Coturnix japonica: one gene and its partner. The protein of the gene in region 2 purifies or fractionates together with the protein of the main gene of each other region. This does not show direct contact. Links are inferred from orthologs where the notes say so. Each region holds a gene or a part of one and is shown on either strand. Other genes may lie near its edges.

Region 1 (3,986 bases), on a different chromosome or scaffold from region 2:
TGCACAGAGCTGTTCTTGCAAGCGTTTCCCCACGCAGGTGCTTTGTTAAAGCACAGACATGGCAGATGCTGCAGAGCTCCTGGTTCTGTACTGCTGGAGGTGTATGAGCATGTAGATCTCAGACCAAACAATGGACCTTGCAAAGGTTTAATCCCCCCTGTGGGACGTAACAGACTGACAGCAGTCAGAGAGACATTCACATCAAGGTATTTATGCTTCGGATTAAAGAGAATAAAACATGTCAGGGACTGGATATTAAAGGTCACCTCAAAGTTCTTTGGTACAAATATAATGTGTGTCTTTGGAGGAAAGTGTCACAGAAAAAAAGCCACCCACCTGATTCAATGTTTACAGCTTTTGTTGACAGACTTTATTATGGAACAAACATAATTCCTTCCTGCACGGTGTGGGAAGCTTGGAAGGGAAGTCCCTACACAAGGGACAGGGGTACAGAACCCAGTTACTGGGAGCGGGGATACAAATAAAGTTGTCTCAGCAACTCTCACCTGTGGTCCATCTCCTTTCCAGTCCCAGAGCATCCCCAAATCACGCTCCATCTTTCCTTGAGGGCTGCACGTTTCCCATTATTTCCCCAAGTTTAAATACCAGATCTGCAGGGAGAGCCCTTCGCTCGTGTTTTACAGCACACAGCTGGAGAACTGCTGCAATTTATAGCTGGAAAATTCAAGTCATCTGGCCCGGCTGCGTATTTCACTTGGCCTGAAGCGCAGCTGGGAATATCTCATTATTTACTGAATATTGCTCATCGTGTCGCATATTATTGCATATTTCTGTCCCGCAAGCATCGCTGCCTATTAAAAAAGCCACAAACTTCAGCAGTGAAAGGGCTGCATCACCCCCAGCCTTGGCTCAGTGTCACACACAGTGCTCAGTGCTGATTGTAGCCCACATTGCACGGCTTATAGTGACCACACGGACCCTCCTCAGCTCAGAGCAGGAAATGGGGTCTGTAAATGGGGCAGGATGGGGCAGGCTCTAATATTGAAGCACCGGGAGCCCTGCTGGCACAACCTGGTGTGCCCCACAGGTGAAGGGGTGATGCTGTGTGATGCTGCACACACGTATCGCTCTATGGGGCCGGGTGGGCTGTGATCCCGGGGTGACCCTAAAGGTCCCATCCATCCTATGGGGTGGGGGGACTGCGCATGAGCAACTCCGCCCCCACCCTATAAGAATCACGTGTTAAATATGGCGGCCACCAGGTACCGGCGCTTCCTGCGGCTGTGCGAGGAGTGGCCGGTGGAGGAGACGAAGAGACAGCGGGATTTGGGAGCCTTTATTCGGCAGAGAGTGGCCCAGGCCTTCCGAGAGGGGGAGAACACGCAGGTGGGAGCGGGGACGGGGCCGGGACGGCGGCTGCGGCCTACATGGGGATGGGGGGGTGGTTGGTGTCTGTGTATGGTACCGAGATTTGTGTGTGTAAGGATTTAATGCAGCCAAAGGAAGGGATGGGTGAGGGATGGAGGGGCCTTAAAGGATGTTCTGTCAGCGGAATGTCTGCTTTATCCACGTGGAGGCAGCGCTGTTTAATGGCTATTGCTGCTGTCATCACTGCAACATCAGCGGGGTCACATGGAAATGACTGCAGATACCCCGAGCTGAGAATCACCTGCAGTTTGATGGTGCTCGACAACCTCTGGCCTCATCCCCTCTGCTGCAGGAGCCGTTTCCAGCCCCTTCCAGCACCCCAAGGACAGACGAGCTGTGTCATTTTATCCTGCCTTGTTATGGCTGATACTATTCTTGTTCATGTGTCTGTTTTAATCGTTGCCTTTGATGTCATTGGGCAGCAGTTCAGGGTCCTCATCAAGTTATTCCCTGCTATAAATTAGAAAAACAAGACGCCGTGCCATTCACAGACTCTGTAAGGCTGAGGCACCTGTCAGATGAACCGAGAGTTTTAGGTATTAGCAAAATCTTTCCAACTTACTGGACCAAAATAGAAATCCATTTACCCCACACAAGCTGCTCAGTGCTTTTCATGCCGCTTTTCCCTGATCAATTATAAACTATTTTTAGCTCGCACCAGGATTTTCTCTACCTTCCATCCCAGTACCTGATCCTGTTTGATCCTTTAGAATGAAGCAAAACCTGCCTTTGAGCAGAGAAAGCTCAGCTTTCACAGTGCTGGCCAATAAGCTTGAGGAGAAAACCATCCAGCTACGTTCACATTCCCTGTGCACTCACAGTTGAGCTGTCATATCTTTGTGAGCAGAACTCAAGGTCCCTTCTAGAACTTACATGCCTCATTATTCTTGTAGGCCAAGCTGGCCAGAAATGGAGGAGAAAGAAAATGCTCTGCATTCAGGAGCAGCACAATAGGGGTCAGCAGCATCCTGCATTGCACTGAGAACTCAGCTGCTCTTCTGCTGTCCTTCTCACAGACTTTCAGCTCAAATGAAATCTGTTGCTATGCAGGCTTTAAAATAAGACTTGTGTGATATTTCTGTCACTTTCCAGATCGCTGATCCTGAGACCTGCGACCAAATGTATGAGAGCTTGGTCAGAATCCACACCAACTTCTACAAAAACAAGGTAAGGTTTGCTGTTAGCCATTGCCAGCCCTTTAGTGGGGCAGTCACCACCTGCTGCAGTACCCTGCCTCTTAACAGCAGGGGTTCTGGGCATACAGCAGGCAAATGAGAAGTCAAGTGGCTGCTGCACTGCCTGCTGCCTTTGGGTTCCCCGGTGCTGCTGTGTCTGAACAATGCCAGGGGTAGTTTTTGCTATGGATGAGCACAGTTCTTATTTCTTGACTGAAAATGAGTAGGGCTCTGTTATTTATTTGGTGGTATATTAAGTCTTCTAGTGCACTTGTAATGCCTTGTTCTGTCTCTCCTTCTCTCACCTACTTGTTTGTGAAGTATCCACGCCTGAAAGACACAAGCTTCACTGGAGTGACAGTGCAAGATTGCAAGATGATCCTAGCAACAGGTACTAATACTGTGATTTGGGAGTAAATCAATGCAGGAGATAAATTACATTCTGTTCTTTGTGGTGTTCACTTCATCACCTCTACTAAACGCTTGTGACTAAAGGACTGATTGGGACTGCCATGCAGGTGTATTAGGATGGCTCGAAAGGTATCAGTTCAGGCATAATTGAGGAGAGTCTCAGTAATCTATCGGGACAAAAAGTCAATTGTGGTTTTTGCAGTGGGCAGGAACAGCAGAGGGTTTGTAAAGGCTTCTTCAGATAGAATGGCAGGAGCTGTATGAAAGCAATCCACGTTTGTTATGTGGCTCAAAAAATTCTTGACTTCCATTTCATCGTGTTCAAATTCCCTTCAGTACTTCTTATCTCGTATTAGACCTTGAGAGAAAACAGGGCACCACAATGCAGAAAGACTCTCAGCCAAATCATTTATTAAGCGTGGTGCAGGAAGCCAATGCCTTTTGTTCTGCTCCAGTTCCTAACTTTGACTGTAGCGCATGGCAACTGAATATTAGTTGTTAGAGATAAGGGGCTCCCTGCACAATTGATTGGAAGGGAAACAAACTTGCCTCAGGCCCTGAAATAGAAATTCATTAAGGCAAAAAGTCAAAAAGAGAAAACATTTGTAAGGCAAAGCTCTTATAAGAGAGCTTTCAGCCCTTTGCTTTCCTGCTTTTTTTCATCCTCTTTCCCCATCTCTCTCTGTTCTCCTTTTGCAGACATGCTGAAACAGATGGAAGACATGAAAAAAGGGACGTGGAGAAAATGGCGAGAAAGGTTTTACACCAAGAAATCTGAAGAGGACTCGAAGTGACAGGCTGACCCCTGCTCCCCCTGTACATATCCCTAACGCTCCGTGTTGCCATGATGAATAAAACCATTCATTCCTCTTAGCAACAGCAGGTTTTTTTTGTTCAGACTTTTTTTTTTTGTAATGTCTGCTCTTTTCCTTTTGGGAATGTGGGACCTACTTTACCACATCTGTGATGGGGGCATATCGGATCGGTGTAAATGTTATAAAGAAAAGGGCT
Region 2 (2,994 bases):
TGTACCACCTCTAGCTCAGGACATCTCCAAACACAGATTGCTGAGAGAGTCCACCAGGGAATTAGTACCCATGCCAGCCCTGTCATTGTATTCTTCTCTGTGCATCCACTAATAGCCAGTGTTAAAGACAGGATCAGCAAGAACTTGTGCAAAAGATATCTTACACAAAGGATTTACAGTGTTTACCAGAAACACAATATAATTTGACAAGCAGTTTCTCAACAGAGGGAAGAATACAGCAACAGTCACAGGATCAGACTGAAAAGCCACCTACACACAGCATTGTGTTACTGAGAGTCAACAGGCTTCCCAGCAGCAGATGAATACAATGCATAAATATCACATTACTTCCTTATTTCCCACCCCTCCTAAAATCTGTTAGTTTAGTGATTTTGAGCGTGAAGTGGTTGTTCTGTACTTAATAACCCCAGACAGGTTTCCCTTCCATAAACCTCACCAGTAACATTGGAATCCACACAGCATCCCAAGCAACGTGTGGCAATCCATGCTCAGCCTTTCCTTGCTGCATTGGGTTTGAGTAGCAAGGGTTTGGTAGCGAGGAGGGATGCAAGAATGAAGTCTGTGAGCAGAGCCCCATGTCAGACCTGAGCCAGCTCCAGCTCCCCCCAGAATGGACCTACCATTGGCCAGAGGAATGATGTTAAGTGTGTCTGGGAGAACAGATGGAAGAACAAACTGCTATGCAACAGTGCAACAGCAGTTGGGAGAGACAGGTGAGAAATCAGAAATGAGTGCTGCAGTCACCCAGATGTTGGAGCAGTCTGCTTCTGAAGGATGGGCCTCATGGTATAGAGCCATGTTGGAGCAGTGCTTGGAGAGCTGCAGTTCATGGGAAGTCCACATGGACTGTTCAGAAAGGATGACATCTATGGGAGGGACCCCACATGGAGCAGGAAAAGGCAGCAACCAACAGGCAGCAGCAGGAAGGAAGCACTAGGGACTGATCACAGCTCCTCTTCCCCATTCCCTAGCACCACCCCAGCATGGAACAAAGGTGTCTTCAGTTTGCTTCCCAGCCTGTTAGTAGTTAGCAAAACAAACTACACTCATCTCCCTGCGCTGAGTCTATTTTGACTGTGACGGTAATTGGTGAGTTCTTATCTCAACCTGTGAGCTTTTTTCCCATCATATTTTCTGCCCTTGTTCCCTTGTTCTTTTGAGGAAGGGGAGAGAGAGAACGGTGTGGTGAAGCTTAGTTTCATACCAGTGTTTTATTACCACACTTGCTCACCTTCTATACACCTTCAGGGTTTCACAGAGCTGTCTCATATTCTTTCCCAGCTGTTTTAGAGGCAAGGAACCCAGTCACTGCTAATTTGCTTCCTCCCAATTCCACTGCTCTTTGCTGAGCCTTATTCAGTTCAGTTTTTATCTTTCTCACTGTTTTGGGCCATTACAGATTATTCAAATCCACAATGGTGTCATAGACTTGAAAAGTGGCACCATAACACAACAGGTTTTTTTCTTCCTTAGTAGTTCTGAGCGCTTGTTTTATTTTTATCAAACACTACTGAGCAAAGTTGCCATTTCCATATCAAAATTATAATCAAGAACTCTGCGCTCTTCTGATAGCCTAGAGCTCATCTCTTTAAACATAAAGCTGGATCTGTTTTTCTCCCTTAGTGTACCCACTTTGCTATTGTCTTCACTCAACTGCACCAACCACTTCTTCACAGTTACCAATCCTTACTGCAATGAACCTTCTCACTTTCATTAAAAAGTGAGGGCTGATTGACCTCTGTTGTCTATATTTCAATAGGTTGCTTGCCTATGAGAGTACCTTCACTCTTCCCCTGTCACTGCTCAATTTTTTTCTTTCTTGTAATAGAAATCATTGTTGAGGTGGGTTTTTGGTTTTTTTGGATGTTTCCTAAAGATCCATAAAGAGGATAAGTCAGACACTTGTTATCTATAGTGATGCTTTCAAACCACAGATGGGTGAGAAATGACCTGCCTCCACAGAAGCTGTGCTGACTTTTCTCCAATGTGCTACATTTATCTGTGTAATTACTATTTCCTATTAGGCTGCTGAAAGCTTCTTTCCCGTCCTCTGCTTCAGTATATAAAGTTGCTACACACTTTCCAGATGGCAGTACACAGCCAGCGCACACTGCCTGCTGGCATTCCAAAGGCGTCTCTGACAAATTCCCTTCATTTTCCATTCAATTTTCTGAGTTACACTGAAATACATCTCCAACTCCCTATCTGGTCCTAAATACAGCATTGGAGACACTACTGAGAATGCTGCTGTGGAGTTTCTGGTCTCCAATTTCCTGTCCCACAGCTAAACCCTTCCTTCCTCCAGCCCTCTTCTCACCCATTTTCTGTCTTTGGTACGTACCAGGACCCACATTTACCAGGTCCTACCCAGTACTTCCCAGGAGGTTTCTGAGCCAGATTTCTAAAGGTTGAGAGGACAAACACTATTAAACATTTTCCTCTGCATAGTAACTGAATGAACCTGGAAAAAACCTTTTATGTCTTTCCCCCCCAAAACAGAAGATTTTTAATTACTGTGTGTAAACCATTTCATTACCAAAATGTCTCCACAGCACCAGGTATGACTGTACGAGTTACCACCCACTGCCAAAACACTGAGTCCCTTCATGAAGCGGGTGCAGAAAAAGAATAAGCAGGGATGCTCTCAATCTTCTGTGAGTTTCTCTCCAGACATTATTCAAACTGCAATGAATCTGTTAATGTCTTTACTTTTATCTCCTTAAAAACATTCAGCGGGTTCTTAAAAAAAGTGATATAGATAAAAACAATGGAGCTATGCATTACCCAAGCAATAAAGATAAATACTCAACACCCTAACCAAGAGAATGGAGAGAAGCTGTGCTGTGAGCTGCAGTGTACCTGTTTGCGCACATACTCCACGAGTAACTCCAGATGCCGAGGGTCCTCACAGTTCCTGTTAAAGAGGTTCCTCCACAGAGCTGCTGCCAGAACGTGATCATCGGACAGGATTCC

The links. Proteins that work in one complex are often made in the same cells at the same time.
Region 1: the proteins of ubiquinol-cytochrome-c reductase complex assembly factor 1 (region 2) and ubiquinol-cytochrome-c reductase complex assembly factor 2 purify together in Homo sapiens (co-immunoprecipitation; 3 studies listed by BioGRID and IntAct, counting the BioPlex papers as one, with this or other methods). This does not show direct contact. The link is inferred for Coturnix japonica from reciprocal best matches to the Homo sapiens genes UQCC1 and UQCC2.

Annotation. Positions count from the first base shown.
Region 1 is NC_029541.1:4,422,673-4,426,658, forward strand, and holds ubiquinol-cytochrome-c reductase complex assembly factor 2, read left to right. Parts: upstream 1-1,181; 5' UTR 1,182-1,209; coding exon 1,210-1,347; intron 1,348-2,481; coding exon 2,482-2,556; intron 2,557-2,885; coding exon 2,886-2,955; intron 2,956-3,674; coding exon 3,675-3,769; 3' UTR 3,770-3,857; downstream 3,858-3,986.
Region 2 is NC_029535.1:1,169,892-1,172,885, reverse strand, and holds part of ubiquinol-cytochrome-c reductase complex assembly factor 1, read right to left. Parts: coding exon 2,881-2,994; intron 1-2,880. UniProt on the Homo sapiens protein: Required for the assembly of the ubiquinol-cytochrome c reductase complex (mitochondrial respiratory chain complex III or cytochrome b-c1 complex). Involved in cytochrome b translation and/or stability.